2 linked regions of the Chlamydomonas reinhardtii genome follow. The protein of the gene in region 1 binds, or shares a complex with, the protein of each later gene. Links are inferred from orthologs where the notes say so. Each region holds a gene or a part of one and is shown on either strand. Other genes may lie near its edges. The genes, in order: CHLRE_10g434450v5 and CHLRE_12g492300v5.

The links.
Region 2: the proteins of CHLRE_10g434450v5 (region 1) and CHLRE_12g492300v5 are in contact, whole or in part, in a cryo-EM structure (PDB 8BEE), measured with the Arabidopsis thaliana proteins. The link is inferred for Chlamydomonas reinhardtii from reciprocal best matches to the Arabidopsis thaliana genes AT2G20360 and AT5G11770. Residues at the interface, in NP_565469.1 of Arabidopsis thaliana: Arg100, Gly101, Ser102, Glu103, Asp104, Arg107, Lys110, Leu111, Lys122, Thr151, Arg152, Asn153, Phe154, Pro330, Phe331, Pro332; in NP_196738.1 of Arabidopsis thaliana: Arg140, Glu148, Arg150, Trp151, Asp176, Arg177, Ile178, Val179, Pro180, Val181, Asp182, Lys205, Arg208, Arg209, His214, Trp215, Trp216, Asn217, Lys218.

The regions. Positions count from the first base shown.
Region 1 is NC_057013.1:2,276,594-2,280,972, reverse strand, and holds the start of CHLRE_10g434450v5 (uncharacterized protein), read right to left. Parts: upstream 2,806-4,379; 5' UTR 2,698-2,805; coding exon 2,643-2,697; intron 2,494-2,642; coding exon 2,399-2,493; intron 2,304-2,398; coding exon 2,148-2,303; intron 1,997-2,147; coding exon 1,839-1,996; intron 1,426-1,838; coding exon 1,279-1,425; intron 1,068-1,278; coding exon 858-1,067; intron 683-857; coding exon 562-682; intron 388-561; coding exon 209-387; intron 76-208; coding exon 3-75; 3' UTR 1-2. Other genes in the region: CHLRE_10g434400v5 (uncharacterized protein), read left to right, coding at 3,032-3,100, 3,349-3,602, 3,759-4,144, 4,304-4,379. UniProt on the Arabidopsis thaliana protein: Accessory subunit of the mitochondrial membrane respiratory chain NADH dehydrogenase (Complex I), that is believed not to be involved in catalysis. Complex I functions in the transfer of electrons from NADH to the respiratory chain.
Region 2 is NC_057015.1:623,184-626,995, reverse strand, and holds CHLRE_12g492300v5 (uncharacterized protein), read left to right. Parts: upstream 1-1,439; 5' UTR 1,440-1,609; intron 1,610-1,695; 5' UTR 1,696-1,704; coding exon 1,705-2,181; intron 2,182-2,603; coding exon 2,604-2,621; 3' UTR 2,622-3,133; downstream 3,134-3,812. Other genes in the region: CHLRE_12g492250v5 (uncharacterized protein), read left to right, coding at 1-11, 245-601; CHLRE_12g492350v5 (uncharacterized protein), read left to right, coding at 3,696-3,734, 3,807-3,812. UniProt on the Arabidopsis thaliana protein: Core subunit of the mitochondrial membrane respiratory chain NADH dehydrogenase (Complex I) that is believed to belong to the minimal assembly required for catalysis. Complex I functions in the transfer of electrons from NADH to the respiratory chain.

The sequences.
Region 1 (4,379 bases):
CCTCACTGCTTGATGTTGTAGTACTTCCGGACCGACTCCGGGATGTCCTTGGCCACCGCCGACATATCGCCCCACCTGCAGCAACCATGAACAGGTCCGCGTGGATGAGTCTGTGCCACGTGTCCACTCTGCGAAACTCAAGCTTGTCTCGCCTGCTCCCTCCCCCTTGTCCCTCCCTGTACCCCGCACCCAAGCCGCAACCACCCACCGGTAGCCTCCCACGCGCGCGTGGCGCACGGGCTCAATCGCCAGGCCGTCCGTGACCTTCTGCGGCACGATGCCCAGGTCGGCATAGCCCAGAGCGCCCGCCGGCACCACCTTGTCGCGCAGCATCTCCTCCACGTAGTCTTCCGTCGCCAGAGGGCTGGTCATGGGCAGGCCCGGCAGCTGCGGCAGGCGAGGCGGAGGACAGGAGGCGGCGGGTGGAGATGACCGAGGGGAGCGGAGGGATACAGGGAGCGGAGGGAGGGCAGGCGCACAGAGACAAGGTCAGGCAGGCAGCAGTGTACTGATACAAGCGCACGAATTGGACTTGACCCAACCCGACGGCTGCCCACGCACCATGCGGCGCACAGAGTCGAAGGGCTTGTACATGGCCTTGACGGCCCAGGCGGGCAGATGCACGGTGTCGTCGCGGTAGATGCGCAGCGTCTTGAGGAGCAGGTCGTACACCTCACGCATGCTGCACACGCACCGAGGTGAGCGGACCACAATACGGGTCAGTCGGGTCAGCCTTAAGGCGGCTCATTTGCATAAGGCTACAGCCTTCCTCGCTCCCAAGCCTGAGACCTAGGCGCATCCCGGGCCGGCCGTGCAGGCCGCTGCAGCTGCGCTACCCTCACAGCCCGCCCACTCACGTGAGCACCTCGGGCCCGCCCAAGTAGAGGGTCTTGCCCGCGGTGTCGGGCTTGCGCAGCAACGCCGCCACGGCGTCCGCCACGTCCAGCACGTAGGTGGGCTGGATTTTGTTGGAGCCCGACTCCACCACGGGCGCGAACACCGTCAGCGTGAGCTGGTAGATGAGGTAGTTGTAGAAGTGGTCCTCAATGCCCACGATGTCGCCGGGGCTGGGGAGGGGGAAATGCGGGCGGGCGGACAGCGGTCCGTAAGAGGGTGGGCAACCAGTACGGCATGCGGCGCAAAACGCGACGGAAAGGAGAACACAGGCCGCCGAGACAACACGCCGTGCCCGTGTGTCCCCGGCGCTGACGCAATGTCTCATGCTTTTCATCGCATCCCGCAGACCCGCATATGCAACAGGTAGGCACGCAGGCTCACCGCACGATGGTGGCGTCCGGGAAGGCGTCCAGCACCTCCTTGTCGCCCACCGCCTTGGTGCGCATGCGCAGGGACTTGTGGTTCTCGTCTGCGCCCATGTCGCTGAAGTGGATCAGCCGCTGCACCTGGCCCGTCTCCGCCGCCAGCCTGCAAGCATCAAGCGCACGAGCAACATGAACAGCAGGTGGGGAATAGGTGCCTGGTGCACGGCATGCATCCTGGGGACCGTGGGTCGCGCGCAGTTGCCCTCCCGTGTCAACCGCCCCTGAGCTGCGCGCTCTACACCACGTGCCGCTGCCACTGGAAGCTCGTGACGGGTGCCATTTCGGGAGTATGCATCCCGGCGGTAAAAGAACACTTAACACGCAATGCCTACTGCACTGAACGTCGCGCATGGTAGAACTGCCCTAAAGCTCCCACAGGCTACTATGGCTGCCCCTGACCTGAACCCTCTCATCAGTCTTCACCCCCGTCCGCTCTGTCCGTCTTCCGCTCTCTGTGTTGGACCCGCTGCCTCCCGCGCCTTGCGATTGATGCTCGCTGCGCCCGGCCCTGCTCACTTCGCCAGGCGCTTGGGGAAGTCCACGTGCACGTCCTCAAACGACCAGTTCTTAGTCTGAAGGCGCATGCCCACGCAGTTAATGATAACATTCGAGCGGCTAATAGCACGCTTGATGTCGTCATCGTTGCGAATGTCCAGCTCCGGCAGCAGCACAATCTGCATAGCAGGACCACGGCGTTGGGGGCGGGCTCCATTAACCGTGCCACGCTGCCCCTTGCTGCGGCTTTCTGCCCTTCCCCACCCATTCCTGCACATCCCTCCCCCCCACACACACATGGCCACATGTGTCTCCTCCCACAGCCCGCACCTGGCCCAGGTCGCCCATTTGCTTTAGGTGCATCGCCTCGTTCTCCGTGCTCCGGAAGGGGCACACCACCTGAGAGCCGCGCTTGGCGAGCTCGTTGACGATGTACGAGCCCAGGAATCCGTTTGCACCGAAAACGGTGGCAGTAATGCCGCTTACCTGCGTTGGGGAAAGCAAGGAGGCCAAGGCTCAAGCAATGCCCGCTACTGATTGTGCCCGCAGGCCCCTGCTGCCGCGCCAAAGCCCCTACGCACCGACGAGCGACCTCCAGGGCCAAGCTTATCCGCAGTCATGAGCGTGCTGCTGTAGTCCCGGCTGGACTGAGACGCAGCAGCAGCCCAGCGCAGGCCTGTGCCAGCGAAAGAAGCACAGTATTAGCTTCATATCCATTGCACTGAAAGGCTGCTCAGGCTGCGCTGATGCGTCTGCACGCGTGACTAGCCCCTCGCCAAGACGTGCATTGTCCTCCCAGCGCCTGTAACGGGAATACGCCCACACCTGCAAGGCGGGCCAGCGCCGACCCGGCTGCGTTGCGCCCAAGGATGGGCAGCATTTTCAACCGGGGCTACCCAAGCAAATGGCACTCGCCAGGACCCCCCTGTAATCTGTGCAGCCCAAAATGCCGCAATTGAAATACCGAAAAGAAGCAAGTATGAAGCAGGGGATGCGGCGTGCATGCAAGTGCGGGCTCGGTCGCTCCGTCGCTGGAGCAGGGATGAGCTCGAGTCGTCGATGCTTTCCCCCCTGCGTCAACTGTCGCTGGTAAAAATTTAGCTTCTGACCATACGTTATGAGACTTGATTAATACAGCTTGACCTTGCTTGCGAGTTTGCTTGGAAGAGATGGCCATTTCGTGATAGGCTCTACAGAGCCAAAGTGCCGGAGCCATGGCACCAAAGCCTAAGAAGCCAGAGGCTGCGCCTCCTCCACCGCCGGAGCCATCCCCTGACGACAACGTGAGGGAGCGGGGCATTTTGTCTTTTGTCTCTTAGAGCCGGGACTCCGAGGACGCGCCTTGCCGCGGCCCCTGCCGCGGAAGCCTAATTGACAACATTCAAACTTGGATCGCATATGAATGGCCGTCCTTAGCGGGGTTTCTGGAGACGGTGTCCGCACTCTAGCGCTGCGACACGCCCTTTTCCCTACCCTTAACGAGCCCGCGGCTTCATGAACCGGCAATTCCCGCCTGTCCTCTGCCCCGCAGCTGCCGCAAGACATCAAGGAGCTGACGGAGTGCCCATTTGAGGTCACTTGGAAGCCCGTTGTCTCTATCGTGGACTATGGCGTGGGTGCGGACGCGAAGGGCATCCAGGCCACGCTGAAGCGGAAGGAGCTAGCGCGCTACATTGTCCTGCATGAGGCGGTGCTTCGGTTGGATCCTGCCACGCCTCTGGGGCAGGAGGCTAAGGCCGTCCTAGATGCCCACATAGCAGCTGGCCAGGGGCCGGAAACATGCACGTAAGTTGACTGCTGGTGGGGGAGGGTTTGGCATGCCGCGCCAGTTGGGTCAGAGGTGCAGGTGGGCGCCTTGCTTGGCGGCAAGATACAAGTCTCCCAGCACCCATCCTCCAGCGTAGAACTGGCTCGAGAACATGTGCACAACCTTCCCCGCAGTTTTGGCCCGGAGCTGAGCTCCAAGCTGCTGGCCGACAAGTTTGCTCGCGACCAGCTGGCGGACTGGCGCGTGGAGCTGCACCGCCGCCGCACGCGGCTGCAGGCGGCTCAGGACGACGCCACCGCGGCGGCGGCGGGGCTGACAGCTGCACATGAGGCCGTGAAGGCCGCGGGAGAGGCGCTGGCGGCGTACCACCGCGGCGTAGAGGAGGAGGAGGCGCGGAAGGCGGCGCAGCGCGCCGAGGAGGGCGAGGAGGAGCCGCCGACGCCGCTGGATGACGAGGAGGGCGCGGCGCCGGTAGAGCGGGAGGCGCCGGCGGAGGAGGTGGCGCTGGAGCAGGCGAAGGCAGCCGTGGTAGCGGCGGAGGTACAAGTTAGGGAGACCGGTGAGTATGGGTGGAAAGAGGTAGGCGGGCATGGGGCTGGGGCGCGCAGCTGAGCGGAACAACACTAGTTCCGCTGGTTGAGGCTAAGCCCGCTATCATCATATCCGTTTGCATTGCGCGCTGACGCTGTATTATGCTGGGCTGCTGACTCCTGCGCAGCCGAGACTGCGTCCCGGCTTGCGGCCGTCCAGAACGAGCCGTTCGTGTGCTATCAGACCTACATCCTCAGCGGCCT
Region 2 (3,812 bases), on another chromosome or scaffold:
CGGTGATGCGGGTGAGGCTTGTGGGGCGGGGGAGGGGGAGCGCTGGCGGGAGCACGGGCGGGGGCAAGCCCTGGTTGTGGTTAGGCGGTGATTGGGCGACGAGGGGCCAAGGCGAGGGTTGGGCCGAAGGACAGTCGAGATTCAAGTTTACGTGTGGACGCATTGTACCGGTATCTGCCTGCTGTAGCTAGTTGGCTCAAGCCTGTAATATGCCGGCGTGCCTCCCTCTCCTCAACACCCTCAGGACCGCGAGTCTCGCGCCACGGGCCGCCTGGAGCTGGAGCAGCAGTCGTACGAGATCCGGGCGCTTATACGCGAGGCCGCCGAGGCGTGGGGTCCCCGCAAGACGCCGCCGCCCATCACCGCAGCATCCGACTTCTACACATTCCACGTGCCGCTGCGCATCGCCGCGGCAGCGGGGCCGGCGGGGCCAGCTGCGTCAGGCGTGGCAGAGGAGGCGGAGGGAGCCGGGGAGGTCAATGCTGGCAGGAGCAGCAGCACTGGCTCTAGGTTGCAACAGGCTGCGTCTGTGTCATCCTCGTCGTCGGCGGCGGCGGCACAGCGGGGTGCGTCAGGAGGCCGGCTGGTGTCTCGGCGCTAGGCGCCAGTTTGTGGCGGTTCAGTGTTGGCGGTGCAGCTGTAGGGCATGGTACTAGGGTCGAGTTGTGGATGTGTCGGGAGTTTTAAACAGAGCAGCATCAGGGCTGCCCAGACTGGTACTGGCAGTTTCGTCGAAGGTCGTATGTGCTCGCCGTTTTGCACTTTCGTTGTTGTCAGTGAACCTAGCCCCAGTTTTGCTTCACATGTTCCGGGGTCGTGGTGCGTGGGCAGTGGACTCGCAGCGCGCTGGCCGGTCATGTTTCCGCAGCGCGGATGCATTGGTGATACACAATATAGCTGAGCGGTAGAGGACCGTTGCCGATGTTGTTTGCAGTGGCAATCGAGCAGCAGGCGGAGGCGGGCCCTGCACAGAGACTGGGCCGCCGCAGGAGATGAACTGCAGGTGAGGAGGACCCATGCAGGGACCGCTGGTGCGGCGCCCAACATCGGTGCAGTGACGGTTGCGCGGGCTTTAGGGAGCTGTTGCGCGGTCTTTAGGGAGCTGTTCAGTTCGTCCGTAGTCGGTACACGCCGTGGCTCCCGTTGGGGCGGTCGCGCTATGGGTTGCGGTGTAGGCACTGCGTGTGCTATGGGACAAGGTTAAGGCTGGTGGGGGATTCCATGCCGTTGGGATGAGTCCGTCAATGAGGGGAGGCCAGGGACAAGGCTTGAGACCGTGGAGGTGCAGCCTGTAACGTTGTGGCTACGTGCAGAGGTTGGTGTGTGGGGGGCGTAGCAGGCCAGCGCTGGTGAGTCACAGCGCGGCACGGGGCGGCGGGCAGCCAACGTGGGGGGGACCGCACTATGCCCGCATGCCACTGCCCATCCCACGTCCCGGCAACTATCAGATGCCCTGCAGAAGGCACAGACAGCCGATTGGAAGGGATATATTCGCTTTTTTTGGCCGTGGAACTCGACGTCGTCCCGGCTAATTTCGTTTTTTGCGCTACGCTTTGAGCCTTTGGCCCCGGCTTACTTTACGATACCTTTCATTAGGAGCTGCTAGCAGGCAAGTGGCGTTTGCGGTGCAGAGACAGTGCTTTCACTCGCGACGTGGTCGCAGAGGAGCCAAACAGCGGTCTCCGTTCACTGCAGGTCGCAATCATGTCGAAGCCCGCAGCAGCTGCTAAGGGCCTGGAGTTTGTGGTCAGCAAGGTGGACAACGTTGTGAACTGGGCGCGTGCGGGCTCCATCTGGCCCATGACCTTCGGCCTGGCCTGCTGCGCGGTGGAGATGATGCATGCTGGCGCTTCACGCTATGACCTTGATCGCTACGGCATTATCTTCCGTCCCTCGCCACGCCAGTCCGATGCCATGATTGTTGCGGGCACACTCACAAACAAGATGGCGCCCGCGCTGCGCAAGGTGTATGACCAGATGCCTGAGCCCAAGTGGGTGGTGTCCATGGGCAGCTGCGCGAACGGTGGCGGCTACTATCACTACTCCTACGCGGTTGTGCGCGGCTGCGACCGTGTCGTGCCCGTGGACGTGTATGTGCCCGGCTGCCCGCCCACCGCGGAGGGCCTGCTGTACGGCCTCCTGCAGCTGCAGAAGAAGATCTACCGGTCAAAGACCACGCAGGTGAGCAGGGCAGGGGATGGGCGTGGAGGGGGGACGTGGCGAGGGGGAGACGGAGCGTAGGCGTGCGCAGAGTGATTTGCGGAGGTGGATGGATGGAATATAGGCAACCAGCGGTGTGTGCTTGCACAAACGGATGCGGCGGTTCTAGGGCCGGCACCAGCCAACTGAACGGCCCTACTGAACGGCCCACGTGCCAAGGGGTTTGGGGGGCAGGGAGGCGAGCTCGGTGCGTCCTTGCTGCTGCCCGGGGCATGCCGCGTCCGCGGGACTGATTGGGCTTTATGGTGATGCGCTTGGTTTGGACGCATGCAGCGACTGTCCATGCAGCGTGTCCTCCCGGGAGGTTGCGCAGCTCCCAAGCCACTGCCTCCTACATCCACCGCACTCCCTCGGCCTGCATGAACCCCGTACCCACCGTGCAGATCTGGTACAAGAAGTAAGCAGCTGGCGCAGGAGCTTGGAACCGCTGCGCGCAGGCGCAGCAGCAGCAGAAAAGCGGCGGTTGGAGGGATGTCAGCGCTGGGGAGGCGCTCTCTCGGCCGGAACCAGTGGGGGCACGGCTGTTGCTCGTTACGCACGGCTGTCTCAGCTTAAGCGTCCCAGGGCCACAGGAGCTGTATGCTGGAAGCGGCAGGCGGGGAGGCGCTTAGGGGTGTGCACGGCGGGCTTGGAAATAACTGGGGGGAACTAGCTTGGCGTTGTGGCGTGCGGCACAGTGGCGCCGTGTACTCTCCTGTTGTGGAGAAGGCTTATTGCATTAGCTTAGCAACCTATTACAGGTGGCAGACAGTGTATACTATAGGCTTCTTTGTGGAAGCACATGCTTGGGTATGAAATGAGGTGCAGCGGTTTGGCGCTAATCGGTGCAGATGAAGTTAGGCGTGATGAACATGGTAGGCCCGGTAGTGGGCCTGGTCAATGAGAACTAGTCTGCATGTAAATGGCTTGGTCACGCTGCGTCGATGTGCCATGCATGCGACGTCGGGACAGGGTCTGGTGAATTGTGTTTCAGCGGTAATGCTGAGTGCGGTTCCAATGGGGACACGGTCGGAGGCTGCTGTCGCTCGGTGCTGAGTGCGTGGGGAGAAGGCGCCATCCGATATCGTCGTAGCATGACGGTTGCGTTTGGTCTCCTGTTCCGTTGCAGCATACCAACGGCCGTGGCAAACGCAGGGAAGCGGGAGCTGGCAGGGGCAGCGGCTGACGGGGGACAGGGCGGATGCAGCCAAGCCAATGGCAAGCTGGTCAACAATCCAGCTCGGCCGTCGTAGGAAAACAATAGAATAACACATTCATGTATAGAGAGGTAACAGGACCGCGGGCGAGTTGAGCAAGAGTCCAGAAACGTCTACTTGCACTCTTGGCATAAATCCAATCTTGAATCTATCGCTTGCTAATATTGGGTACTCGAAATGCTTCACGGATCCAAACAAGGAGTGCGGAGTGCAGAGAATGGACGCTGTCGTGGCGCATTCCGCTCGGGCGCTGCACCTCGCGCCCGCGGGAGTTCTATGATGTGCTCTGCATCAGCAACACTGAGCGCTGCGCCAAAGGTGCGGTAGATCTAAGTTCATCTCTGGTGAAAAGGTCTCGACAAGTAAACATCGCTCCACCCTTGCGCGCAGGCTTCC